5 linked regions of the Ovis aries genome follow. The protein of the gene in region 3 interacts with the protein of the main gene of each other region in a pairwise test. Links are inferred from orthologs where the notes say so. Each region holds a gene or a part of one and is shown on either strand. Other genes may lie near its edges. The genes, in order: EMP3, MAL, EDA, SEC22A and PLN.

Region 1 (6,290 bases), on a different chromosome or scaffold from region 3:
ACCCTGGACTCGCATAACGGGACCGCATTTCCCAACAACCCACGGGGCAAAGAAACCGCCTGAGGGCGAGTGCATCACTGCCTACTGGGAGTTGTAGTTCACTCCTCTAGCGCCGCGCCTTGGAGGCTGCTGCAGACTGGACTTGGGCAATTTAGTGGATCTTTTTGGGCCTCCGTTACTCATCCATTACATGGGACGATAATACCTACTCATCCATCCATCCATTCAAGGAATATTTTTGAGTGACTTTACACAAGCCAAGCACACAGGTAGTAAATCAGTAGAACAAGAGGAAACCTAGAAACGTAATGCTCCCCCAAATGATAACTATGATTAACTTTTGCTCTTTGCACCTGAAGTCATAAAAAATGAAAAGTACGTAAAAGTCCCTGAAGTGTCTGATACAAGGTCGGTCCACACAAAAAAAGCAACTGGTTGACATTATAAGACCACTACTATTATGATTTAGAGTTCTCTCCTGGTGTTATTTGGAGAAAGCAATGGCACCCCACTCCAGTACTCTTGCCTGGAAAAATCCCATGGATGGAGGAGCCTGGTAGGCTAAAGTCCATGCGGTCGCTAAGAGTCGGACACGACTGAGCGACTTCACTTTCACGCATTGGAGAAAGAAGTGGCAACCCACTCCAGTGTTCTTGCCTGGAGAATCCCAGGGACGGGGGAGCCTGGGCTGCCGTCTATGGGGTCGCACAGAGTCAGCCATGACTGAAGTGACTTAGCAGCAGCCGTAGCAGCCTGGTGTTATTAATTAGCTACCTATCCCTGCTAGCCTCCCTCTGTTCCTGGGATCTAGATTATCCGTCCACAACCCCTTCCCCAGCCCTGGCTCCTTGAAGCTCTAAGTGCCAGTTGCCCCATGACTCAGAGACCCACACCACAAACCACCACTGAGACACTGAAAACTACAAGTTCCTTAAGTCCCTGGGGCAGAGAGGTAGCCAAAGGCAGAACCTCAGGTGGTCTTTGTGTTGTTGAGAATTGTTTTCTTTCACTAGGTGTCCATTCTTCCCCCCACCCTCCCCCCATCCTCACAGGCCTCCTCCCTTCCTTTCAGTTCCCTGGGGAACCGTGCTCACTGGTGCAAAGCTGGCAGAAGCCAGTGGCATAGAATAGCCCTCCTCGCCGCATGGTGTAGAGCTGGAACATGAACAGGATGAAGGACAGACAGCAGAGGATGAGCGAAAGCACCATGAGGACTTGTACTGCCTTCAGCCAGCCTGCAATAAGGAGATAGAGGAGGAAGTTACAGCAGGTCCAGGGTTCCAGCTCCGCCTGCTTGCTCGTCATTGCTCCCACCAACCGTTCTTTCATTTAGAGTCGTTCAACCTCATATACTCAGTAGTTATCACTTATATCAACTTTGATCCCTGTAACTTTCCTAAATCCCCTTAGGAATTCTAGAAGCCATTTGCAGATTCTTTAGGATTTTGTATATAAACATGCTCACTGGGAATTGAGACAGTTTTACTTCTTCGTTTCCCATGTTTTATACCTTTTATTTCTTTTTCCTGCCTTATTGCATTGGCTACCTCCAGTATGACATGGTATCGAATTGTAAGAGCAGAAATTCTTCCTTTGCTCTTACAGAAAAAGCATTTAATCTTCCACCTTCTTTGACTTAGAAATTTTAGCGGATGCAGCTCTGCCCCTTTAGAACTCAGATGCATCTGACCCCATTTATTTTGAACCTTGCAAGGATTCAGTCTCACCTCTTTAGAATCTCAACGTGGTCCACCCCACTGGAACTTGAATAGCATGGGCCCAGCCATCCATTCAGAACACCTGTCTTGCCTCTTTAGGACTTTGGGAACATGATCTTGTCTTCTCAGAATCTTGGAAGCTTTCCCCCCATTCCTTAAACCTATAGCATGTGGCCTCTACTCCTAAATCATCGGGAGTTGGGTTTTTAACCTCAGCAGGCAAATAATCTGCCTGCAGTGCAGGAGACCTGGGTTCAATCCCTGGGTTGGGAAGATCCCCTGGAGAAGGGAAAGGCTACCCACTCCAGTATTATGGCCTGGAGAATTCCACGGACTATATAGTCCATGGGGTTGCAAAGAGTCAGACACGACTGAGCGACTTTCACTTCACTCTAGAACACGGGCATACTTCCCCCTACCGTTCAGAAAGGTGGGTCATCATACGTCAGCCTCAGTCACTCAGCATGGGGACCCATAACCCGCCCACTCAAACCTTGGGGGGTTCCCAATCCTTGGTCCCAGGAGGAGACTTGGGGTTATCCCTCCCTTCTGCAGACCCATCTCCAGTGCCCCTCAGGCCTCACCATTCTCACTGACGATACTGCAGTCCCATGTTTTGTTGTTACTGTTCCATTCGCAGTCATTCCAGAGATTCAGGGACTCCTTGCCGGGGAGAGTCCACCAGGACTGGGATGGGTAGAGGAACAAGGGCAAAGTCAGGGAGGTTAGGCAGGGTTGGGGAAAGGGCAAGGTGCCATGGGAAAGCATGGATTTAATAGGAAAGTGTAGGTTGGGGGCTCATCAGGGGAAAGGGTAGGGTGAAGGCAGAGCTCATGACGGAGTGCTAGGGCGAAGGGGCAGGGCCAGAGGGACAGGAGGCCCCTGTCCTCCAAGTTGGCTTACCTTGTCCAAAGTGGCCACGAAAAGCAGAATGAGAATGAGGATGTGGAGGGCAGAGACCACCAGCAGGAGGAGTGACATGGCTGTGTTGGAAGCCTGGGGTGGGATGTAGGGAGATGACGGTCACTTCAAGAGGTTGTTGGCACAGGGGCAGGTGAGATGCCTGAATCCTGGTGAGGAAAGGGGCTGAGTCCAGACTCCCAAGTCTAATGGAAATGGGGGCTAGGAGCCCCAAACTTCTGGTCTGAGGGAGGAGGAGGCTGGGAGCTAGATGCCTGGTTGTGAAGGAGGAGGGAGCTGGTGGCCCGGACTCATGAATTTCCCAGGGCCTGGAGGGGGCCAGTGATAGACTTGGGTCCAGGAATGAGTAGGACTAGCAATCTGGCTCCCATCTCTGCAGAGCCCTGTCCCTGGGGACATATGGGCAAGGATGTGAAAAATTCCTATTGCTGCCTGTTCAGATATATCAGAAGCTGGGGGCTGCCCCCAGAGATGGACAATCTTGACTCACCCCACTCCTCTCTTGGGGTGGAGGGAGGAAGGGGGACCCGGTGAGTCATCTGGTCGGTGACTCATCTCACCCTCCTGCCGCATGCCTCCAAGCACCAGGGAAACCCCAGCCCCTGTCTATGCCCACGAGGTCCCCACCCCACCCTGCCCTGCCGCCAGACTAGTGTCCACTGGACACATTGTAGGGAAAATGGACAAGATCCATGCTGGGGGTGGGAGAGGGCCTGAAAAGAAGGAGCCAGCCCTCATGACCCTTCAGTGTCCAGAAAGGGCGGCAGGGGAGTGGTGGCGGGTGGGGGCTGGAGTGTCTCCAGACTTCGGTTGTTCTCATGAGAAGCCCTGACCTCAGGGTCTTCCGGGGGGAGTGGACAGCCATAGAGTAAAACCGCAGGAAGTTTTTGGGTGGTGGGGGTTCTGCTGGGAACCCTAAAATCTGTCGGGCCCCACCTCTTTCCAAGCCTCCACCCCAAGTGCCAAGAGTTCACTTCTTAAATTACAAGGATTTCCAAGCTTCACCCAATCTGGCAAGGGGGTGAGGGTGGGGGTCTCCTTTCCAAACTGCTGCACACCCAAGTAAAGAAAGAAATCACAGGCTGAATAACGGATTGAAAACTTACCGAGAGCGGCAGAAGTCAGATTTGAGTCCGGTCCCTTGATCGGGCCTCCGTGCCCCGCCCTTCTCTTCCCTCCTTCCACCCTCTCCAGGCCCCCGCCTCTCACCGCCTTTCTCCCTCCCTCCCTTTCTGGCTCTCTCTCTCTTTCTTCCCTCCAATTCCGGAACCCTTTCTTTCCCTCTCTCTCTCTTTCTTGCCTTCTGCCTCTTGTCTCTCTCTCCTGTCCTCACCGTCTGTACCTCGATTCTCCTCCCTCTCTCCTCATTCTCCTGGTTTCTCTTTCTCTGGCCTTCTCAATATATACTGACCCTTTTATACCCACCGCGCCCAGCTGAGGTCGGCAGCCAGAGGGAGGGACCAGTCACTCGCGTTCCTCCTTTTCTGGGCCCCCACCCACTGCCCCAACAGGCATCTTCTGGGGCTCCCCGTCCTGCGGTGGAGATGACACGTCCTTGGAGGAAAGGAAACAGAGCTGGGGCCCTTAGGTGGGGCAGGCATATCGGGTGGGAGGATCTGATTCTCAGGCCTCTGCTCCTGGACTTGTCCCGGGAATCGACATCTGCTTTCCCTGATGGGGCTTAGGACTGGATCCTCAGGGGGATGGGTGTCTGGGCGGGGAGACCAGATTCCTGCCAAGGGGAGTGGGCTGAGGACTTGTGGGGTTGGCACCCTGGTGGGAATTGGGATGGGAAATGGGGAAGTGTGGAACTCCGGAAGGGGGCAGGAGGTGGAAGTTAAGAACCCAGGGCTACCGTTTCCTGCCTAGGGGACCTTGACCAATTATTCCAACTCTCTGAACCTCAGTTTCCTAATCGAGAGTTGGGCACAGTACTACTTATACTGCTGACTATATACTAACGGCAACGATAACAATTCTGATACTTACTCTAAACAAACAAGGCGATACCACTGCACTAACACCCCTAACACATTTTTTCTTTTCCTCATCAAACATTTATTGAACATCTATTATGGACCAGGAGTTAATAATGAAGAAAACAGACGCGAGCCCTGCTGTTCTTATGGAGTTTACCTTCTAGTTGAGCAAGAGAGAGAATGACGCATCAGTACAGTAGCTAGACTTCAGGTGGTGGTAGGGCTTTGAAGGAAATGAAATACAGTGACACTGCTGATGATGGGAGGCAACTTTAAAAGGGTGATCCGGCAAGGTTTTTCTAAGGAGAAACCTCATTCTGAGATGAGACTTGAAGACAAGAGTTATTTGAATGCTGGAGGGAGAGGAAGGACACAGGATTGGAGAACAAGCTCAAGTTGTTTGGGGAGCAGACAGAAGAGCCAGTGTGGCCGGAATATAGGGAACTAGAGGGAGTGGTAGGAAGGGAATTCAAAGAGAGCCCTTGAAGCCTAGGGGAGGAGTTTGGATTTTATTCTAAGGGTGGTGGGAAACCATTGGCGGTTTTAAACAGAAGTGCAGTACCAGGGACTTAATGTTATGAATAACTATTATTGTTATCATTATTATTTATTTTTAGATTATTGAATAAGTGTGGGGAGTGATTACCACTATGTACCTGGGTCTCTATGGAGGGTTGGGTGCTTGGTGAAAAGCAAGGGACAGGGAGCCAGGTGTCTGGGGTCCTGATGTGGAATTAAGAGCTGGAGGACTGAAATCTTGGTCCCCACAGGGGAAAGGAACTGGATGATGGGATGGCTGGGTATCTGAGGGAGCCACAGGGAGAGGGAGGGAGAGTGGTTGGTTATCTGGGCTCCCTGAGGGGGTGAGGGAGGGGCAGTTCAGTGACTGGGTGGTACTCCTAACCCTAACCTGGAAGCTGTTACCACTATGACATAGGCTTTATTCATTATCTGTGATTTGGGGCAGGTTATTAATCTCTCTATGCCTCAGTGTCTTCATCGGTAAAATAGGAATAATAATAGTAAATACCTCAAGGAGCAATGCTTAGAGGAGTGCCTGGCATAGAGAAAGCACTGTTGTACATGCATGTTACATGACACACTGGGACATGGGAGATGAGGTGTCTGGGATTTGGAGAAGGGACAAATGCTTGGGTCCATTGGGTCCCAAGTCTAAAAATTTGGGAGTACAAAATGAAGGTCGCTGGGGGTGGGTAAAGTAGTTACATCTTTGAGAAGGACAGAGACTGGGGGTCTGAACTCAGTTCTCCAAGTAAATTAGGAAGCCTGGGTCACCGGGGGAAAAATGAGGGACTAGAGATCGTTATGTTCTTCAAGGAGGCAAAGGGGCTGGACCTGAGTCCTGGGAGGAGTCTGGGAACCAGGGGCTATAGAGATGGAATTTGAGCGGGGGAGGTGGAGAACAGGAAGCTAGGACTCTGAATCAAACTCCTAGAGTGGAATTAGCGCCAGGTTGGGGTACCCTGGAGATGTTCCGGGCAGGGGGTCCCCCATGCTAGGGCCCTACAGAAGGGGGAGAATTAGGGTAGCGGAGGGCGGTGGTGGAATCTTCCCCTCCTGGGCCTCCAAAGCCACGAGCTGAGCGCCCGCGGGCCTCTTCCTCCCACAGGAAACCGCAGGCGTTGGGCACACCCAGCCTGCAAGGAGCGGC
Region 2 (6,269 bases), on a different chromosome or scaffold from region 3:
TGCGGAGGAAGGAGTTGGGTTAAAGATTATTACATAACCTGTTCTCAGGCAACCCCTCCGAAAGTTCTGAAAGGGAGGTGTCCCTCTCAACATTTTGTGAAAGAAGTTTCCTTTGGGGACCCTGGCTGGGGCTTGAGACAAAAGCATTCTATGTTAACATCCTGTTTTCTGAACATGTCCCAGTATCATGAAGCCCCTGGCTTAGGCGAGAGCGGTGGCGGGGCGGGGGAAGGGAAACCAGAGTCTTGGCTCCAAAAGGAAAAATTCTCTCGGGTGGGTGAGGGGGAACAGGCCAGAGCACAGCCCTGGGAGCTGTTGAGGGAGGGGGACATTTGACATTCCACCTGCGCCTGGAGAGGGGTGTACACCTGTGACCCGCTGCCTGCTGCAGCAGCAGGGCCTTGTGGCTCTGGGGTGCTTATGGAGACAGGGTCTGCCACAGCCTTCAGAGGGCAGGAGCCCAAGGGTAGGGGTGCAGGCCTAGGGAAGAGCTGCCTTGCTCCACCCAAGCTACCACCCTTCCCTGCTCCTGGGCAGTTTCCTGGTTTGGGAGAGCTCAGCAGAGCTCCACCCTGCAGACCTGGAGGCGGAAAGTTTTACTGCAGCACCTCCCAGGCTATTGGGAGGTCAAGCATGAGAATATGGACTGTGAGTAATCAACAACTTGCTTGACCACAGATTTAAAAAATAATCAAGCCTTTCACACCCATTGGACTAGCAGAAAATTACGAAGTCTGACTCTACCAAGTGAGGCAAGATGAAGCACAATGGGGACTTTCATAAGCTGCTGGTGGGAGTCAGGAGGGTTATACAGTATGGAGACCTTCTTTCTAAAGGAATGCGAAGTCAGCCAGAGTCTTGGAAGGGGCCTGAGCAAGAAGGGGTCCAGAGCTTAATTAAGCTCCATCAGCTTCCTGGTAACCCCGCTTATGAGATGGAGTAACCATTTTGGACATCAGTGTGCTAACATTTGGGAAAATGAGGGTGTGCAATCGCTATGACCCAGTGAGTCAAATCTCTTTGTGTTCTTGAAAGAAATTCCCCAAAGTACAGGAGCAAACACAAGAATGTTCTTTGGCAGTGCCGTCTGCTGTATCACATTTGGAAATTGCCCAAATGTCCATCAATAAAAGACCAAATAAAGAGTGTCAGTGTGTATAAACCTCAGAACAAGGTTGTATGAAACCCATGTTGAAGAAGGATGTGTACCATCCTTTCTATAAAGCGGGAAAATATGAAACCACACAGGTGTGATCATAAATAGTTAGGGGTGCAGTAAAAGTCTAACACTGAACACATGTTCAGCCCAGTGGTGGTCCTGAGGCTGAAGGGAAGAGAGTAAGAGAATAGCAGAATATCCAGGTGGTTTAGATGTCATCTGAAAGCTCTATTTCCTTACTACTGAGAGTAAATAAGGAAAAATATTAAGACATAACAAAGTTGAGTGATAGTTACATGAACACCGATTAAAGTATGTATACTTCTCTGTCATTTTTGAAATAGTTTTCAACTTTTAAAAAGTGAAAATGAAGTCGGCACAACAGAAAACTAACCGTTTAAAATTGGCCTGTTCAGCAGCATTTAATACCTTCACGATGCTGGGCACTCACCACCTCGATCTAACTTCAGAACGTTTTCATCACCCCCAAAGGAGACTCCATACCCATTAAGCTGCTCCCCATTTCTCTCTCCTCTCAGCCCCTGGCAAACCACCAATTTGCGCTCTGTCTCTAGAGATCTACCCATGCTGGACATGTCCTATAAGTAGAACCAAATACTACGTGACCTTTTGCATCTGGCCATTTTACTTAGCATCGTGTTTTCAGGTTTATCACCCTGTACCAGCACTTCATTCTTTGCTACAGTCGAGTAATATTCCACTGCATGGAATATCACTATGCGTTTATCTGTTCACCTGTTGATGGGACATTTGGGCTGTTCCCACTGGTTGACTATTATGAATACTGCATGCTCACACACCTATTCAAGTCAGGGCAAGAGGAGGAAGGTGTCCCAGAGTCTTTTGTATGAAGCCCAGTGAACACATTTTTAAAAAATTTATTTATTTACCCATGCTGTATGGCTTGTGGCATCTTAGTTCCTGGATCAGGGATTGAACCCTGGCCCCTGGCAGTAGAAGGGTGTATTCTTAACCACTGGACCACCAAGGAATTCTCAATGCATTTTCTTATGCTTCTTGTTATAATGCTTCCCAAACAGCTACAAAGGCAGAGTAAACAATTCATTAGAGCAACTCAAGAGATACTAGCAAGTCCTTCTGTGGCTTAAAAATCTTTCTGCCCCATCACACACCTCACCTTTAGCCTTCATCACTTACAATCAACAAATTCTGTCGCGTAAATACAGTAGCCTCTGAAGGAACAACCTATTGCTTACTATACACGCTCATTTTCAGGCTAAGTGCTGAGTAGAAGCACAGAGACGAGCCATTTGGGGACGGAATTTTCCAGTGAATGCAAACCCCTTCCACTTTGGGACTGGGTGTCGCCACCTACAAATGGTGTGGCTGAGATTACAGGTGTCTAGAGCTTCTTCTAGACTTCCCCTCCTGGATGCTGGCTAGCCCCAGGATTTAAAGTTGCTCTGTATACACGCAGGTTTGGGCTCAAGCTCAGTGATACGGCGCCACAAGGCAACCTCGACCCCTTCAGCCCTCTCCCCGCGGGTGCTCCCCCTCTACCCTCCATGGGTAACAGAACCTGCTGGGTTTGCTGTTCATGCCTTCCCCAGCCGAGCAGGAGGTAAGAAGCTGAGGTCCCGTTTTTAAACAGGTTGGATGTTTCCTTTACCGGCTGACGCTCCAGGCAGCCACTACTGCGGTGGGGGCGCAGGGACAGGAGTCTTCTGGCTCATGGAACCACACTCAGGAAAGAAGTACAGCCCGTCCCTTGCCAGGTGAGGGCCTGGCACCCTGGGGAGCTTAGGCTGAGGGTGGTCTGAAGCCTCGCGGCAGAGAGCACTTCCCGGGAGCCCCGAGGAGGAAGCGCTTTCCCACAGCCTCCGGTTGGGGCTCCAGTGTAAGGAGGGGCCAACAGCAGGTGCAGAAGCCCTTGGATGCTCAAGGTCAGCCAAGGCAGGGCCCGGCTTTCAGGCCCCTCTTCCTTCCCCCACACTCCACAATGGGCACAGTGACTGGCAGAGCAGTCACAGCCTGTTGTGTTATTTCCAGATCAAAGTGGTGGCCAATTCCTTCACTCACCAGAAACGTTCAAGAGCAAATAACCCAGATTCGGCTCCTCCTATGACACTAACCCCATCTCCACCCTTCGCTTGGTAATACGCAGGTGTCTTTTGCTGATTTTTAAACTTTAAAACAAAATCCTAACCCTGGGGAGAGCCGGGTGCCTCTACAAGGACGCCGATCCCAATAAGCCCATGGGAAGCAGGTTGGGAGCGCAGCTTTGGACCCGGTGCGCTCCCAGTGGACCCGGGCCAGCTTCCGACATTTGATCCGTGTTGCGAGTTTGGTTTTTCCACCCAAATCTCGGAGACGGTTTATCGTGGGCTTGAAGGGGCCAAAGAAGCATCGCGGGGTGGGGGCTGGGGAGAGCCTTTCCTCCTGCGGCTGCCAGAGGCTCAGGGACCCTCGCGGCTTGCAGCAGAGGAGAGCGCACTCCACGACCCATCCCGACCTGCTTTTCCCGGCGCCCGCGCCGGCGCCAGGCGCGCCAGACACTCACAAATTCAAAAATGAAGAGCAGGTCCGGGAAGGTGGTGAAGACAGCGAAACCGCTCGGCAGGCTGCTGACGCCCGACGCCGCTGAGGGGGCCATGCTGGCGGGCTGGCGACGGCCTCGGAACCGGACGGGACGAGCGCTGCTCCGACTCTGCGCTGGCCGCTCTGTTGCTCCGCGGAGCCCAGTGGCCCGGGCGCCCCCGCGCGCGGGTTAAGAGCAGGGGCGCCCTGGCCGAAGAGGGAGGAGTCCCGGCCGCCGCCGCCCGGTCCCCGCCCGAAACCGTGGGGGCGCGCCCCAAGGGCCCTGCCCAGCGTCATGGGCACAGCCCTGAAACACTCCAAGGCTGAGACTGGGGTTTGACTCCTGAGCGCCACGTCTGGGCGCCACCTTCCATCGGAAGCCTCGGTGAGGCGCTTCACACTCTTTGCAGGTGATCGGCATTTCTTAAGAGTGATCACCATCAACAGTTGGCTCCCCAAACCCGGCAGGCACCGTGGCATCTCTTGGGTCAGCATGGTGCAAACTGTTCTTGAGTTGGGGCTCTTTTATCTTCCTGCCGGGCGCGTTAATGTGCATCCAAGTTCACCGTGGGACTAGTTCCCTGCCTTGCAGGGACTGCTGAGACCAGGTATGGTCACCCATGCCTTCTCCCTGCGCCCTCAGAGCCTGGAGCCTGGAACTCTGCACCACCCGGCTCCGCACCACTCGGCGCCGGAACTGCTGGGCGATGGATTAGGCAATCACACCTGCCTTGAATCTTGGACCGTGGAGGGAGCCAGCACTGCTGAGGGCCTGCTAAGTGCCCAGCACCCCCTCGGCTCTTTGCCCACGTGACCTCATTTAATCTCCAGGAACCTTTCCAGCGGGTGTCACCCCACCTCCAGGCTCGGAGTGGAGAAGGACATGCCCGGGCCACATGGAGGGCAACTGGGCCTCTTGACTGGTGACGGCTGACAGTCCCCACTGCCTCTGTGCCCCTTGCATAAAACCCACACACTCGAAAGCTGTATCTATGAGTCTGCTTCTTTTTTTTTATTATATTAACTAGTTTGTTGTATAGTTTTAGATCTCATATATGAATATCACACAGCATTTGCCTTTCTCTGTCTGACGTGTCATTTAGTCTAACGCCCTCCAAGTCCATCCACGTTGCTGCAAATGGCAAGGTTTTTTTCTCTTTTATGATTTAGTAGTATTCCATTGTGTGTGTATGTGTGTAGGTGTGTATCTTACAGCTTCTTTATCCATTCACCTGTTGATGGACATTTAGGCTGCCTCTACACCTTGGCGATTGAAAATAATGCTGCTGTGAACATCAGGGTGCTTGTATCTTTTCAGAGGAGTGGTTTGGTTTTCTCGGACGTATACCCAGGTGCGAAACTGCTGGGTCAGATGATAGTTCCAATTTTAGTATATTGAGAACCTCCATACTATTTTTCAAAGTGGCTGCATCATCAATATCCATTCCCACCAACAGTGTACGGGGGTTCTCTATTCCTCACATTCTTGCCAACATGAACTGGAAGTATTAATATTGTTAAAGATTCAATACAACCCCTAACAAAATACTAATGACATTTTTTGCAGAACTAGGGCAAATCATTTTAAAATATGCACTAAAACACAAAAGACCCTAAATAACCAAAGTAATCTTGAGAAAGAACAGAGCTGGAGGAATCACTCATCCTGACTTCAGACTATACTACAAAGCTAGTCATTAAAATAGTACGGTGCTGGCACAAAAACTGGCAATGGAACAGACTAGAGAGCCCAGAAATAAACCCATGCACTTACGGTCAATTAATCTAGGATGAAGGGAGCAAGAATATACAATGGAGAAAAGAAAGTCTCTTCAGTAAGTGGTGCTAGGAAAACTGGACAGCCTTATATACAAGAATGATACACACACATTCTACTATACCGTACGCAAAACTCAAAATGGATCAAAGACTGAAATGTAAGACAAGAAACCATAAAACTCCTAGAGGAAAACATAGGCAGGACATTCTTTGAAAGAAATTGTAGCAGTCCTTTTTGGGATCTGTCTCCTAAAGCAAAGGAAATAATAGCAAATATAAACAAATGGGACCTAATTAAACTTGAAAGCTTTTGCCCAGCAAAGGCCACCATTGACAAATGAAAAGGCAAACCACTGAATGAGAAAAATGTTTGCAAATGATAAAAGGAGTTAATATCCAACTTATCTAAACAGCTCCTATAACTCAACATTAAAAAAAACCCAATTTAAAAATGGGTTGAAGAATTGAATATACATTTTTTCAAAGAGGAAATGGCCAATAGGCACATGAAAAGATGCTCAACATAATCAGGGAAATCAAAAGCATGCTGAGGTCTCACCTCATACCTTCCAGAATGGCTATCATGGAAAAGAACACAAATAACAAATGCTGGCAAGGGTGTGGATCCCTGCCTTTCTGAAGCTCACCCTAGAGAACAGGAGAGCGCGGTCAATCAAACACTGCATGATAAATGTGTAAAGGGTTTGGTGCTGGGAGGAGAGTGCAGGCAGACCCAAGAGCACCCTCCAGCCCAGCCGGCTTGGGCTTGGGG
Region 3 (5,588 bases):
AGGCCTGAGCCCACCCCCCATTCTAACCCAGGGCAGGCCCAGATAATTAATTTTTTTCTTCATCACTACCTTATCCATCACACCCTACCCCAAGCTTTGATCCCCACCCCACATCAAATGGCACTTAGGACAAATGTCCCATAGGACATTGGGATCATACCTCTGGGTTTTGGGACACCCATCTGTCACCCTAAATGACTCTAAGAAAGGTTGCTCCCTTCATAGACCGTTTAGAAGGCAGCAGCACATTCAGGTGTTAGGACTGCCAAAAAATACATAAATTCTACTTTTAAAAAATGAATTAAGAAAAATCTTTGGGTCAGGACCCAAGCTGTGTCAGGATGTTTGGTGGGCTCAGCAAATGCTCGAGGACCCACCTTCTCTGACTACTCTCCTGGGAGACCCTTCTGCTGGCTTTGTCGTCTTTCTGTCCATCTGTCTGCTTGCCCCTCACCCCACAGAAGCCCCAGCCTCAAGGCTCATTCACCTCTAGCTCTGAGGAGACACACTATTGGAGACACAACAGGGTGGAAGTGGATGGGCACTGGCCGACCTGGGAAGTGAGCCCTGGGCCCGGACAAGGACACAAACAGAGGGAGAAAAGTGCTGGGACAGAAAAGAAGCAAGAATAACAGAGAAGCAGAAGGTAGAGAAACAAATGGAAGAAAGAGGAAGGAAAGACAGAAATTTTCCTGAGGTGGAGAGAAGGTCCGGAAGAGCACTCTTCATTATAAAGCCAGTGGTGTGGGGAGGGAGGGGTTCTCAGCAACCCTGGAACTGACTTTTAAAAATATACTGAGACAGAGTTCGGTTTTGGCAGTAGAACCAAGCAGCTCAGCAGGGAAGCTAGGGCCTGGGGCCCTGCAGGAGGGGATCAGATGGCAGGGTGTGGGAGGGGCCTCTTTTCAGTTTTCAATCGTATCTGGCTAAGGAAAAAACCCCAAACAGCCCCTTCTGTCTCTCCTCCTTCCTTTCAACTCCCTCCCCGAGTGGGTCTTCCCTCCAACCTCCCCACCCAGGACTTCAGCCATTGGCTGGTCTGGGCTGGCTCCACAGTGCCCCTCTGTGGCATGCAAAGGATCTGCATTCTGGATATAAGAGTTAGGCCTGAGACCGTACTCACTTCTACCTGACTATAGATGAAGTAGGTGCCGTCCACCAGTACCTCCAACTCCCCGCTGCGGGGGTGTAGTTTAAACACCTTGGGGTTCATGGTGATGCGAGACCAGTCATTGAGTACTCCACCTGAAAGATCTCAGTATGAGAGAACGGCAGTCACTCAGTACATGTCAGAATCATCTGGGCAATAGAAACAACAAATTTCAAGCTGTACACAACCCCCACCCCCATTGAGATATAACCCGGATAGCCCAGGAGGCCAAGCTTTAAGAAGAACATCCAGAAGCAGAGAAAGCGGTCTGTTTGTAAACTGGCAGCCAGGCCTACTTCAGGCCCCTGGGGTCTGTATGTCCTTTCTCTTTCCTTTTCTGACTTCTCTGTCTGGAAGGATCTTTAACCAACACCTTCCAACTAGAATTGGGGGTGGTTGGTAAGAAGAGGGTGGGCATGCTGCCCTATTTTCTTTGTTGTTCTGAGACCTGCACAGGCAAAATCCAGACACTGAGGGGCAGGCTAGGTCTTATTATTCCATTTCATCTCACCAGCCATAGCTCCTGAATCCCTATTTCTTCTTGTCCTTAACAGATTCCTTTTAATAGTTCCTCCACACTCATTTCTTTCTGGAAAGTCTCCATGGGCCCCCAGTAAACCACTTGGCCCAAGGATCTGTCTACTCAGAGAACTTTAGGGATCAGGGTTAAGTCAGACTTCATGGCAGCCAGACAAGGAACCTCCAGTAATAAGGCCATGTAGGGCAGAAGGATCTTTATGAGAGTCAGGGATCAGCTGCCATGCAGCCCTAGAACCAGCCAAATGGATGGAGAGGGTGTCAGAGCATGGAGGCACTGCTGCAAAGCATTTCTCATTAATACCCCATTGCGAGTGGAGAGGCCTGTGAGGCAGGAAGAAGGGCTTCCCTTTCCATTCTGTAGCAAAGGGGATGTTCCTTCCCACCCTAAGAGGAGGGAGTTTAGGCTTGGGAGCCTTTCCCCTTCAAAACCATCCATTCTTAGAGATGCAGACATAGAGAACAGATTTGTGGACGTGGGGGTGTGTGTGCAGGGGGGACGGAGGGGGTGGGATAAATGGAGAGAATATACACTGCCATCTAGCCAGTGGGAATCTGCTGTATGACTCAGGGAACTCAAACCAGGGCTCTGGGACAACTTAGAGGGCTGGGACGGGGTGGGAGGTAGGAGAGAGGTTCAAAAGGAGGGGATATATGTACACCTACGGCTGATTCATGCTGATGTATGACAGAGACCAAAACAATATTGTAAAGCAGTTATCCTTCAATTAAAAATAAATTAAAAAATCCATTCTTCATCCAAGAAAACATGTTTTGAAAGTCCATCCTTGGCTAGTCTCGGGAGGTCTGCCTTTCCGAGGTGTGAGGAAAAGGTGCCCATCTTCCCTTGAGGTGATAAGCAGACGGGATAGAGTTCAGAGGAGACGCTCTGGCTCTGTCCCTCACAGACGACCATTCTGCAGGAAATCTTCTACTCTTGACCCCTCACTCTTGATTCTGCTGGAACTAAAGATCAGCATAGACTACTACTGGGGATTGGCCCAGAGGGGTCGGAACTAGTCTTGTTGTATGATGGGAGCAAAATCAGTAGCTTCTGGCATAACACTGAGGCCACCCAAACAAATCTATTTCCTGACTGTCTCACTCTTCCCTGAATAGATGGTGATCATGGCCTACCCAGTGTCCTGGGTCTCAAGGCACTTGGTCCCAGCAGGACAGTTTGGGTTTTGGTGCCATTATGTTCTTACTTATGTTTCTGAGGCAATGAAGTCAGGCATCCAGGTGGCAGTCCGAGAGGTACCCAAGCCCAGTCACTAAGGAAGCAGAGCACAGCCAGTTTAGGACTGACTGGGTTCTTAGAAGCTGCTGTCCCCAGGCAGCAGGTTTCTGACCCTTCATTTACTGCTTTTGTACTCACAGCCCCTCCCTTCTACTCTAAGCTCTGTAAGCATCTGGCATCTTGGCTGGCTTGCTGCTTCCTGAGGCTTCTGGGGGTTCATGCATTTTAGGCTTTGTATACCCTGGGGACTGGACATTATTTCAAAGCACTGTTCTTTAATGAATGTTCATGTCTCTTTGGGAAGAAATGAAGCTAATCACTCAGTAGAGTATACACACACATCACTGAAGTAGCATAGTACAGTGGAAAGAGTCAGAGAGATGTGGTTTTGAATCCCAGCTCCTACTCTTAATGGAAATCTTGGGCCAGTTAATTAACCTTTCTGAGTTTCAGTTTCTGTCTTCGTAGAAAGGAGCTAATGCCTACCTTTGTTGTGAGGATCAAATCAAATCAAAGACAAAACTCTAAAGAACCATACAACCTTAAGGCAGTAGATTTATTATGGTGTTGTCCAATCTCTCTGGCACTCTTGTTTCCCCACCTTTGAAATGCAGGGATTACATTAAATGTAGGATTTCTAACCTCCTTCAATCCACCCCCTTTTTTTGTAGACACTAGCATCTCATACTTCCTACAGAGTCTAACATGCCCCCCACTTCCCTGAGAGAAATGCCCCTCGACCCTAGACCCATCACACAAGAAGATTTGATTTTATGTATTTCTACTTTCTATAATTTGTATTGTGAAAATGTTGATTAAACTATACATATTCCCAATGGTGACTCTGATTCAGCCTCCACTTTCCAAGAATCCTTGGTTTAGACAATGTCTCAAGTCCCTTTCAGCTTCTTGTTTTTTAAATCTGTGCTTCTAACTGCAATTTGTAGTAACCAGTCTGAGGACAAGCAATTACTTGAAACAGCCAGCAGAGGGCAAAATGGAGTAGAGAATGGCCCGTAGTGTCAAGGGTACCTTCGAGGTCTGGGAGGAACTAAGCTGGGTGGTTATTTGAAGGCTGTGGGTAAAGGTGGTGGCAGGAAAAAACTCTTCTTAGGGAGAGAGCCTACTTTGACTCTTACCATTCTTGACTTGAATCGCTGACCCTTGGCCCTGTAGATGCACCACGGCTGGCTGGGAGGATAAGGACAGAGAAAGTAGTCACTGTGAGAAATGGCTGCTTGCTCAGCCACCAGTTGCCACCTTCTAGTCTTCATTTGTATCCCAATTCTGACCCCTCTCCCCTGTCTTGGGATGCGAGTGGCCACATTTCTACTAGAGGGTAATATGATTTTATAGCTCTGCCAAATGTAATGCCTCTGAGCCTCATTTCCCTGTGAAATGGGGATTCTGAGAATCTCTGTCTGGCTTCTCTACAGAGATGTCTGAAGATCAACTGAGGTGACGAATATAAAATACCCTGCAAGCCATCCAGCACCGTGCAGCTGTGTAGATTGATTGCTGTGGCCAAACAGCTGTAGTGAGAGAAGCCGTGATGAGACAAGGCGAGGCAGTGGAAACTGCCAGTAGAGATGGATCAGGAAGCTCAGAGACTAGGGAGGAGCCCTTCAGGCTGTGAAGGCAGAAGGCCAGGCTGGGCTTGACCTGGAACTGGTTGGCTGATTTTCAAGAACATATTCTTAAACTTCTAAGCTGCTGACATCAGGTGGTTGGAATGCCGACAAGGTGTCTGGTGTAGTTGGGGAGGCCCAGGACCAGGTGAATAGACCTCACTGCCAGCTCATGTCAGCTGACTATTGGGCTTGGCTGTGGTGACCCTCTGTCTCCTAGGGAATGGGGAAAAATAGCCACAGCTCAGTTCTCTTGCTAAAAGCAGGCCCTAGGGCAAAGTTTTTCTATTCATGGGAGGGGGCTGTGAATGAAAAGCCCCCAGAACCTCCAGGGTCTCCTCACAAAAGAAAGCCTCAGCAAACTTAGCAGGGAGCAAACTCAAGGGTGGCCTTCCCTTCTTCCCAGCAAGACAGCAATTCCCAGCCAACCTGGTTTTCTCGAGTTCCAGCTTTATCAGCAGCACCTGCAAAATAGGACAGGCCAGTCAGAGGGCATGCTCTGTCTACTTGCTTCTCTTCATCTAGGCAGCCAATGGCACTGAGCTTTTGCTCCCTGTCTGAGCCAAGCCAGGCTCAGTCTGAGCCTTTTGCCAAGCATCAACTGAGCCTTATTTTCCACAACTCAGAGCTGGAGGGAGTCAGGGTGCGGGGCTCTGGAGTGGGAGATGACACCCCTTTCTTCTCTGACTTGTCCCTGACCTGCATCTTCAATGCGCCCAGCACCCAGCAGGAAACTGGCCCCTCGTCAACAATGGCCCAAGGCAAGTGCCACTGAGCACCCGTGGTGACAGAGGAGAGTGCATTCCTGCCACCGTGGGACCCCAAGACAATGGTACTTGCTTCTTTAGCCTTTTGTTCTCTTTCTATTAATTTTCTCTGTAGAATGCATTGCCATTTGTACACATCTTGCTTCTTTAATTGTCATTCTCCTGTACGACATAAATTCCACCAGTCAATATATCTCTTGCACATAGAAAGTATGCAATGAATATTTGTAGAAAGATGGGATGAAAAAAAATTCCAAACTGCATTT
Region 4 (6,125 bases), on a different chromosome or scaffold from region 3:
TTATGGCTGAATCACCATAACACTTTAAAAATATAAAATTTCTATTGAATAATAAGATGCATACTAAAAATTACGTATCTTAAGTGTGCAATTTGACAAATTTTCTTTTCTTTTTTTGCCACCTCCATGTAGCATGCAGGATCTTAGTTCCTTGATCAGGGTTTGAACCTGTGCCCCCTGCAGTAGAAGCAGGGAGAGTTCCCACTGGATTGCCATGGAATTCCCAACCTTATGAGTTTTCATTAATCAAACACACTAGTGTAATTAACATCCAGATCAAACATTACTAGAACCCCAGAAGCCCCTAGGGGCCCTTTCTAAACCTTAATGCCACCTAAGGGTAACCAACAGTCTTCTATTACCATATATTATTTTTGTCTCTGTTTGAATGTTATATAAGTAGAATCAAGTAGTATACAGTCTCTGTGTCTGGCTTTTATCAGTCAGTTTTACAGTTGTGAGATTCATCCATGTTTTGTATGTAGTTGTTGATTGTTCATTCTCTTTCCTGTATACTGTTCTACTATGTGAATATTCTAAAGTTTATTTATCCTATGAGAATTCTTATATATGTGGTATATTCTTATATATGTTTATGGTAAACAAATGAATACATTTCTGTTCCACATATATCTAGGAGTGGAATTGCTTGGTTAACCCACTCCAACAACCAGCAAATTTATATAATTAGTCCAGACATTGCTTCTGGACTTCAGACTTACATCTCCAAATCTGTTTGACATCTCCATATACAAGCATGTCCAGCTTAATATGTCCAAGACCGTTTGCTCCTCCTTCTAGGTTCCCTGAGTCAGTAAATGGGTTCTTAATTCATCTAGTAAGTCATGGAGGCATTCTTAATGCTCTGCTTTTCTTTATCATCCTAGGCAAACCAATTCTTTATTACATCCTTTGGATTCCACCTCTAATTTATAAATAAGTATTTCAAAATTACCCAAATCTTTCTGTCTCTAGTGTCATTACCCTAGCTCAAGCCACCGTCATCTCTGGCCTTGACTAATGCAACTGCCTCCAAACAGGACTTCCAATAAGCCCTTCTCTCCTCTTTCAAACTATTCCCCACAAATAGCCTAAGTGAGAGTTTATTAATAAATATGTAAATCTGACCCTACTTAACACTCTATTAGCTGCCCATTGACCTTAAGATACATTCCAAAATACAGTCTAAAATTTATAATGTGGCCAGGAGGAGCCTGCATAGTCTGGCCTCTGATTCATTTCGACTCCTTTGCTCCTACACCTCAACCCCACTGACTTCCTTTCAGTGACATGTTCCTAGAACACATCAAATTCTTTCATGCCCCAACAATCTCAAACATAACATTCTCTATGCCTGCAACATTCTTAAAGGCTCTTTCATGTGCCTGGAGCTTCAAAGGCACTTCTTCAAAGAACTCTTTCCCCATAGTCCTTATTAATCTATCGTTGCACTCACTAATTTTTCTTCATAGAATTGATCACAATTTATAATTACGTAATGTTTATGCTTTAACATCTCTTGCTCCTATCACACATTAGATCCACCGAAAGTTATATTCACTCCTATAACCCAATGCCTAACCCTGGGCTTGGCACATAGTATGCAGTCAGTAAGCACTTGTTTAATAATGCATGACCGATGCAAAAGCTAGGATGGACTGCAGGAACAGCATTTGGCATTTCTTTGTCAAGGTAGGATGCCTTCCCCGGCGTGGTAATAATGGGACAGGTCCTTTTCTTGTTCACTCAGAGTGGGGCTTTCATGCTCCTTCTATAAGTGTTTCCTGCAGGGCCGCATAAGAAACAAACTACCTGCAGGTACAGGCGGCAGACCGGAGATCAGCCTTATTTGCGAGGGACAGTATAATCAGTCAATCCAGGACTTGCCACTCTCTTGGCGTAGAAGCGTGAAAAGCTGTCAATCTCCTCCGGAGCGGGCGGGTAAGTGTGTCCTTCCCCCAGAACCTGATTGGCCTGAGCATGGAACGGGGGCGGGGCTTGATCCCGCTGGGTGCCAGCCACGTTGCACGCGAGGCTGCCCCGCCGAGAGGCCACTCCCCGGCCCCACAGTGCACTGCGAAGCGCGTCACTCGGAGCGGCGGGTCTCGGCTCGACAGGTACGGCCCGGCCCCTCCCAGTCCTTCGTCCCTTCTTGGGGTCGCCCGAACCCTGATCTGCTGCTCGCCTCTCTCTCCCTTTCTCCTGCCACGGTCCTGACTCTCGCCGTTGGGACTACAGACCTACCTACCCCGGGCGGGAACTAAGTTCGTGGCGTGGGAGCGGGAGTCTTCGGAGTCGTGGAGCTTTGGAGGGGTGGGATTGCTGGGACTTCGTTCCCTTCAACTTGAGGGATCACTGGGGCCGCGCGAACGGCGGTTGCCCTTCGGCTGACCTGCCGGGATATCGGGCAGCTTGGGCAGGGGGCCGAGGAGGGGGGGACAGTCGCTCTGAGGTGCCAGCGGTTAAGCGGCATTCCCTGGCGCCCAGGTGTCAGAAACACGGTGGCCCTCCTAGGCTGTTTAGGTGGCCCAGAGAGCTTGACACGGCACTTCCTATTTTCTTTTAGGCAGGGTTACTTAGTTTTTTTGTGAGGTAGTTCAACCTCAATGCTAATTCAAGCATTGAACCCAGAGATTTGCCCGCGTTGGCTCACAGAAACCGAAGGTCCTGTTAATGGCACTTAGGAAACGATGTGGCATAAGGGAGACCTAAGCAATTGGCTCGACAGGTAGCTGAGGGTTCCGGAATAGGAGGCCGAGCCTCAGCTGCCTTTAATCTCTCTGACAGTGAAAACAGCAGCTTTGCTCCGCCCCGTTTAGTTTCCTGGGTCATCCACCTGGGGCAGTGGGAAAGCTTGAGAATCAGTTCCTTCTATGCTTTGCTTCAGCCAAGGCAAAGCCTAGGGGTGAGGTGTCAGCCACCAGGAGGGAGATGATGGGATCTCAGCTAACAGGTGGAACAGCCACTTAAAACTTTCTGAGTCCCTTTGCAGGTTACTGGCGTTTGTTCAAGTGCTAAGATAATGGTTTCCCTGGTGGCTCAGATGGTAAAGAACCTGCCTGCAATGTGGGAGACCTGGGTTTGATCCCTGGGTCAGGAAGATCCCCTGGAGAAGGGAATGGCAACCCACTCCAGTATTCTTGCCTGGAGAATTTCATAGGCAGAAGAGCCTGGCAGGCTACAGTCCATGGAGTTGCAAAGAGTCAGACAGGACTGAGGGACCAAGCACACAACACAACCCTAATTTAAGGGGCATCTGGGCATTGCCTATACTGAGAACCGTAATTAGTTTAGTGTTTGTGTGTGTGTGTATGTGTATAAAGTGATTATAAAGTGGTAGTCGTGTCTGAGTCTTTGTGATCCCACGGATTGTAGCCCACCAGACTCTTCTGTCCGTAGGATTCTCCAGGCAAGAATACTGGAGTGGGTTGCCATTTCCTCCTTCAGGGGATCTTCCCCACCCAAGGATCAAACTTGGGTCTCCTGCATTGCAGACAGATTATTTACCATCTGAGGCACCAGGAAAGCCCGTGTGTACATAATTGATTCTTAAAAATCTTCAGTGTATTTTATACTGGTGTATTAATGGAGCCTGCAGTTCAGTTCAGCCGCTTAGACGTGTCCAGCTCTTTGCGACTCCATGGACTGCAGTGCACAGGCTTCCCTGTCCACCAACTCCCAGAGCTTGCTCAAACTCATGTCCATTGAGTCAGTGATGCCATCCAACCATCTCATCTTCTGTTGTCCCTTTCTCCTCCCGCCTACAATCTTTCCCAGCATCAGGCTCTTTTCCAATGAGTCTAGGTCTTAACAAACAGGCACTTTCGACCTTCCTGTCCATGCAGTTGAGTTGCTGCTGCTGCTAAGTCGCTTCAGTCATGTCCGACCCTGTGTGACCCCACAGACGGCAGCTCACCAGGCTCCCCCGTCCCTGGGATTCTCCAGGCAAGAACACTGGAGTGGGTTGTCATTTCCTTCTCCAATGTAGTTGAGTAAGAAGCTTAAATATGTTGATAGGCAACATTTCAGAGTGTGGTTAGAATTATGCTTGAGTTTAATTCTGTCACTTGCTCATTTCAGGATTGAATAGATTACTTTTCTGGGCTTGAATTTCCTCAGAGATAAAATGGAATGGATAATAACTACCTCACAGGGTATTGGAAGGCTTAAATGAGGTAATGTGTATAAAGTGGTAAATAGAGGACAGTCAATAATAACAAAAGCTTAATATTGCACTTTCCGTCTGCAAGGTGATGTTTCAGGTTCTTTACATGTTATTATGTGGTAGATACTATTAGTATCTTTAAACAGTCCTATGAGATGGGTGCTATTGGTAGTCAAAATTGACAGATGAGGGTATTGAGCATAAAAAGACAGTTTGCCCAAGTTTACACAATTACTAAACGGTAGAGCCAGTTTTTGAATCCAGGCAATTTGGTTTCATAGTACACCCTGTTAACTATAATACTTACTGTATAGTATATAAGCTGTTTTTAAAAATTGTTATTTCAGAATGAATAGCTAATTCCTGTATCACTGGCTTCTTGCCCCTTGTTGATTATAGGAGGAGCACAGTGATGTAGAGATATACAAGAGACTTAGATTTAAGCACTGCCATATATTAGCAGTGTGACACTGAGGAAAGTTTCCTCATCCGTAAAATGAAGGTTATACCTCCCTCACTCTTCGTTAACTGTGAGGTGTTACACAAATTACTGATGCAATTGAGTATGTGTTGAAGGCCTTCTTCCTAGATGTGTGAATGATCTACTCTGGAGCCAGAGTTCTTATGCATACTATGCAGTACAAGTACCTATAATAAAAATACCAAAGGCTGTTGATAAGATGCGGGGCACAGGTAAAGTTGCAAAATAAACTCTGGTTGTTTTTAGTACCCTTTTCACCTCTTTTCAGGCTCTATCTCCCAAGTACCTTCCTGCTAACCTATGGCTGCATGAAATCCTTCTCGTTTCACTCAATCTTCCCCCAGTCCAGTGCATCACAATTAGTATAGCCTTCTCCAAAGCTACACCCCAGTTCCCAGATCTCAGCTAGTACTTTTTAAAAAATTAATTAATTTATTTTAATTGGAAGCTAATTACTTTACAATATTTTAGTGGTTTTTGCCAGACATCAACATGAATCAGCCACGGGTGCACATGTGTTCCCCATCCAGAACCCCCCTCCCACCTCCTTCCCCATCCCATCCCCTAGGGTCATCCCAGTGCACCAGCCCTGAGCACCCTCTCTCATGCATTGAACCTGGACCAGTGATCCGCTTCACATATGATAATATACACATTTCAATGCTACCCTCTCAAATCATCCCACCCTCGCCTTCTCCCACAGAGTCCAAAAGACTGTTCTCTTTTGCTGTGTTCATCTGGGTCTCTTTTGCTGTCTCACATATAGGGTCATCGTTACCATCTTTCTAAATTCCATATATATGCAATAGTATACTATATTGGTGATTTTCTTTCTGACTTACTTCACTCTGTATGATACGCTCTAGTTGCATCCACCTCATTAGAACTGATTCAAATGTATTCTTTTTAATGGCTGAATAATACTCCATTGTGTATATGTACCACAGCTTTCTTATCTGTTTGTCTGATGATGGACATCTAGGTTGCTTCCACGTCCTGGCTATTGTAAACAGTGCTGCAATGAACATTGGGGTACACGTGTCTCTTTCAATTCTGGTTTCCTTGGTGTGTATGCCCAGCAGTGGGATTACTTGGTCGTATGGCAGTTCTGTTTCCAGTTTTTAAAGGAATCTCCACACTGTTCTCCATAGTGGCTGTACTAGTTTGCATTCCCACCAACAGTGTAAGAGGGTTCCCTTTTCTTCTTACCCTCTCCAGCATTTGTTGCTTGTAGACTTTTGGATAGTAGCCATTCTGACTGGTGTGAGATGGTACCTCATTGTGGTTTTGATTTGCACTTTTCTGATAATGAGTGATATTGAGCATCTTTTCATGTATTTGTTAGCCATCTGTATGTCTTCTTTGGAGAAATGTCTGTTTAGTTTTTTGGCCCATTTTTTGATTGGGTCATTTATTTTTCTGGAATTGAGCTGCAGGAGCTGCTTGTATATTTTTGAGATTAATTCTTTGTCAGTTGGT
Region 5 (4,299 bases), on a different chromosome or scaffold from region 3:
GAAGCCCCATCTGGTAGGGACAAACTCTGGCTTAATTACTATCATATAGATTTTGGAAGTTCAGCAGAATTAGGACTCAACACATTTCAGACCGTACCACTGTCAAATAGACTGGGCCCAAAATACTGCACGCACAAAGCTTAACATTTCAGCACGTAAACAGGATTTGTTTTGGTTTTAGCACAAGGTAAAGTGACTATTTAGAATTATAACATATTTCTGAGTTTGACAAGAAACAAGACAATATTTTTGGTTGTCTCCTTTATACTCAATTTGTCTCCAGGAACTTTTCTGACAATAGTTGGCTGAAGTATTATGAGATCATCTTTTAAGTCTATCCATTATTCATCATCATTGGATAGCTCATCTCTTTAGGAGAAACCTCTTTGTATTTCACAAACACCAAATACCCACTTGTACAAAGCTCAGTTCAGGTTAATTCTGTTAGTCACTAACAATAGTTTAAGTTTTAATTTCTAAAGTAAATATTCTAAGCCTCACTTTCCTCATCTGTAAAGAGACTTGAGAAGAATACTGGAGATTAGGTTTATCAAATTCTATGACCTAAATGGTTCACCTGCTAATCAAAGCACTATCTTTGATCATTAATAATTTTCTAAAAACATTAAAGTAAATCATAATAAATAATTCACTGTTTAGCTTCACTGATTTATTCAAATGGTACTCATTTTGCACTTAAGCACTAGAATACAAAGTAAGCCCGGGAATTTTTATACTCGTGAACAGGAAGTCTAGCAGGGGGAACAGGCACGCAAATCAACATTATAGCACAGCCTGCTAGCCACATCTTGATACAGGCAGCACTAGAGCCCTACTAAAACCCAACGGAGGTGATAACCAATTCTGCCTTAATGAGTAATGGAAGGTTTCATTAGGAAGTGATATTTAAACTGGACCTTAAGGATTAACTGAAGTTTGCCTGGCAAAGAATCAAAGGTAGAGGCAGGGGGAGGGGAGACATTCCAGGCAGGGCCAGAAAAACATGTGCAAAAGACAATCATAAAAGGGAATGAAGTATTTATGGAAAGGTGACACGTTTCATGTGACTAAAGTACCGCTCCCCAGTGTTGGGGGAGGGGAGTGACTTCATGATGAACTGGCTTGCTCTTCCTTTTCCATGTTATATCTCACAATAACTTTAAAATTCAGGGCTTGTGCGCCATTTAAGTCCTAAAACTTCATAAAAATTAAGTTCAGACAGGAACTACCAATGCTGATTCTTTACAGTCTTCTAGGTTATACTCTGTTATGTAAAGAGACTAGTCAAGTTTACATAAAAAAGTAATAATCTTCTCCACAATTACCCACCAGTAGAAACCCACTACATCTATAATAAGCAAATATAAGCTGAAACAATTTAAAGAACTTTTTTCTTAAAGAAAAAAGAAAAAGCCTTTATTTCTTTATTTGGATCTCCTCACTACAGGCTAGTACTATGAAAACCGCAGGGTCTTCAGCCAATAGAGCCAAGCTGAAGTGCTGAAACTATACAGAATCCAACCAAACACTGTATATCATGTGGTGTCTTTGCAATAGTAAATGAGTTCTAACCTAATCTCAAGATCAGGCCTAAAGATCTGCTGTCTTTACCAGTCTCTCTTGCAAAATACAGCTAAAGACTGAGATGGGTCTTCATGAGATGTACAGCCACTAGGGAGAAAATGAAACCAGGCAGCTGGGCTAAGGCAGTAATATCTTGATCGGCAGAGATGTCAAGATATGTTAACAGTTATTATCTCTGGCAGTTAATTATGACTATTTTTAAATTTTCATTTCTAATTTTTCTTATTTCAAAATTTACATAGAAGTATCCTGATTGACAACAAATATTGCCAAACTATTACCTCTGGGCACTTAACTTACAACTAATTTTTAATCTACTGAATATACCTAATTTTCTACAATGATGTACTGTTTTAAGTTTTGTTTTATTAATCAGCACAGGTAATTGATCAGGCAGCAAATAATTAATTAATTAGGCAGAACAGCCTGTGGGAGCTCTGAAAGAAAGCAAATGCAAACACTGTTCTTAAGTATAGGCCCTTTGCAAATGGCAACTATGTGTGGTAGACAGTGAGACAATGATGATTTTATTACTATGCCATTTGAGTCTGGCAATCTTTAGTACTTAATATCATCCTGTTAAAATGCTACTTGAAGTAGTATATTTTACAAAGCTATAAAATCATCAAAACAAATGAGAAACATTTCAATCTACAGTTCTGGTAAAACACTTCTCATTGAACTATTTTATTTTGGAGTGAAGTCAACATCTGTAGAATAACTTATTGATGCATCTTCTTTTTATAAAGTTTGCTCTGGAGCTATTTATACACTGATGCTCAGAACAACTGTGCTCACAGAGAAAACAGTCTTAATGAAATAACACGTAAGAACTTTGGCCCAAGGGAATAGCCCAAGACAAGCTGCATCCTAACCAAATTATACTTCCAGTCATTTTGAGAGAAAGAGGACAAGACTGAAGTTACTATACCCCAAATATAAGATATCATGGTACCATCACCAAAAAAGACAGAGCCTGAGCAATACAGACTAGAGGTATTTGATGTCGTAAATACAAATTAGGTTGAGGAAGAGGGATGAACACAAAACAGTGTTTTACCTGTTCAGGGGATAGGTTACACCTACGATCCTAAACCATTTACTACTTTTACATTCCAGGCTACCTAAAAGAAGACGCACTTGGCTGGCAGCTTTTTACCTTTCTCTTGAGCGTTTGAAACTCCAGGCTCCCTGCCTTCCTGGTACCATGGATAAAGTCCAGTACCTCACTCGCTCTGCTATAAGAAGAGCTTCCACCATTGAAATGCCTCAACAAGCACGTCAAAACCTCCAGAACCTATTTATCAATTTCTGTCTCATCTTAATATGTCTCCTGCTGATCTGCATCATAGTGATGCTTCTCTGAAGTTCTGCTGCAACCTCCAGCGCTGCCACTTACCGCCATCAGCTTAAAATCTGTCATCCCATGAAGAAGGGGAAACAATACTATATAAGAGACCACTTCCTAAATAGAAGAATTTCTTTGTGAAAAGGTCGAGATTTGGAACAGAGCAAATTGTTAGCAAACGTATTCATCTGCTGGATGTTGTAAACATAAGAAGGGCTTTATTTTCAAAAATTAACTTTAAAGTGACTATAATGTAAGTGTGCATAATGTAACTGTTAATTTTCTAAACAGACCTTAAGCTTCTATCCCAAATCTTTCCTAAGGATGAACTAGGAGTTTAGTTTTGAAACTGCACTGCTAATAAGCTCACTTCATATATAAAGCATCAGCTTCACTCTTTGGGATAAATATAATTTATATTGTACTGTAAAAGCCTCTTGGATGATTTATTGAGTATTTTTCAGGTCCTCACCAAGTATACCAAAATAATCATTCAAATGAAATATCATTTGAAATAGCCCTTGTTTATCATCATACAGAAGTCTCCATAGTAACTCTATCAGACCCTACACTCTAAAACAGAAATTATACTTTTTCTATAATACCCTAACATTTTAAGTTTATAAGAATTGAGTAAAATCAAGCAAGACCATACCCTTAGACAGATAAAACAACTAATTTTCTCAAAGAATTACAGAATTTTAATATGTGCAGGTAAACCATAAATCTGTTCTCACCAGGACTTTATGATCAATAGACAAGAACTGTTGGTTAATTTAACATCTGACAGTATGATTAGCCATAATTACTAACACACTAACAGAATAGAACCTAATCTTCATTTAAAGCACTATAGCTAATTACCTGAGTCAGAGCACATAACTTGCCACTGGAATCATAAAATTTTAAGATTAGAATGATTTTACAGGTTGTCTTCTATTTTAATCTCACACTCATTGTAGGCAAGCAAAATAAGAAAAAAATATTACTTCAAGCATTAGAAAAAAAAAATTTAACTCTTTCTCCAAAATCAACAAATTCTTAAATTTTACAGTAAAATTTTTATCCCACTACTGTTCATGATAGGGTATAGCTATTTTCCTTAATCTATCAACCAGGTGGTAAACACCTAAGTGGTAGGCCACTCTACTACACTAACCAGCAATACTAATCTACAATGATTTTCTTGCTGAATACATTTCAAGTTTCTCTTCATTTAAAAATATCTTCCAACTACTGATAGAACAATAGAAGTAAAAATTGGTCATTTAAAAATATCTTCAAACAACTCATAAAACAGAAGCAAAAACTGGTTTGGAAAATATATTCACCAAAATGTGGTACATTGACTTAGTTTAAAATTAAGT

Evidence for each region.
Region 1: the proteins of EDA (region 3) and EMP3 interact in binary tests that used the Homo sapiens proteins (3 or more experiments, as listed by UniProt). The two-hybrid records come from large-scale screens. The link is inferred for Ovis aries from reciprocal best matches to the Homo sapiens genes EDA and EMP3.
Region 2: the proteins of EDA (region 3) and MAL interact in binary tests that used the Homo sapiens proteins (3 or more experiments, as listed by UniProt). The two-hybrid records come from large-scale screens. The link is inferred for Ovis aries from reciprocal best matches to the Homo sapiens genes EDA and MAL.
Region 4: the proteins of EDA (region 3) and SEC22A interact in binary tests that used the Homo sapiens proteins (3 or more experiments, as listed by UniProt). The two-hybrid records come from large-scale screens. The link is inferred for Ovis aries from reciprocal best matches to the Homo sapiens genes EDA and SEC22A.
Region 5: the proteins of EDA (region 3) and PLN interact in binary tests that used the Homo sapiens proteins (3 or more experiments, as listed by UniProt). The link is inferred for Ovis aries from reciprocal best matches to the Homo sapiens genes EDA and PLN.

Annotation. Positions count from the first base shown.
Region 1 is NC_056067.1:54,792,385-54,798,674, reverse strand, and holds the start of EMP3 (epithelial membrane protein 3), read right to left. Parts: upstream 4,197-6,290; 5' UTR 4,051-4,196; intron 3,802-4,050; exon of another isoform or gene 3,746-3,801; intron 2,789-3,745; exon of another isoform or gene 2,715-2,788; 5' UTR 2,700-2,714; coding exon 2,622-2,699; intron 2,406-2,621; coding exon 2,303-2,405; intron 1,236-2,302; coding exon 1,095-1,235; intron 1-1,094. UniProt on the Homo sapiens protein: Probably involved in cell proliferation and cell-cell interactions.
Region 2 is NC_056056.1:104,621,563-104,627,831, forward strand, and holds the start of MAL (myelin and lymphocyte protein), read right to left. Parts: upstream 3,885-6,269; 5' UTR 3,795-3,884; coding exon 3,702-3,794; intron 1-3,701. UniProt on the Homo sapiens protein: May be involved in vesicular trafficking from the Golgi apparatus to the cell membrane. Plays a role in the maintenance of the myelin sheath, and in axon-glia and glia-glia interactions.
Region 3 is NC_056080.1:62,929,567-62,935,154, reverse strand, and holds part of EDA (ectodysplasin-A), read right to left. Parts: intron 5,020-5,588; coding exon 4,985-5,019; intron 4,119-4,984; coding exon 4,067-4,118; intron 1,255-4,066; coding exon 1,124-1,254; intron 1-1,123. UniProt on the Homo sapiens protein: Cytokine which is involved in epithelial-mesenchymal signaling during morphogenesis of ectodermal organs. Functions as a ligand activating the DEATH-domain containing receptors EDAR and EDA2R. May also play a role in cell adhesion.
Region 4 is NC_056054.1:188,413,190-188,419,314, forward strand, and holds the start of SEC22A (vesicle-trafficking protein SEC22a), read left to right. Parts: upstream 1-2,088; 5' UTR 2,089-2,117; intron 2,118-4,080; 5' UTR 4,081-4,170; coding exon 4,171-4,175; intron 4,176-6,125. UniProt on the Homo sapiens protein: May be involved in vesicle transport between the ER and the Golgi complex.
Region 5 is NC_056061.1:19,648,642-19,652,940, reverse strand, and holds part of PLN (cardiac phospholamban), read left to right. Parts: intron 1-2,703; 5' UTR 2,704-2,791; coding exon 2,792-2,950; 3' UTR 2,951-4,299. UniProt on the Homo sapiens protein: Reversibly inhibits the activity of ATP2A2/SERCA2 in cardiac sarcoplasmic reticulum by decreasing the apparent affinity of the ATPase for Ca(2+).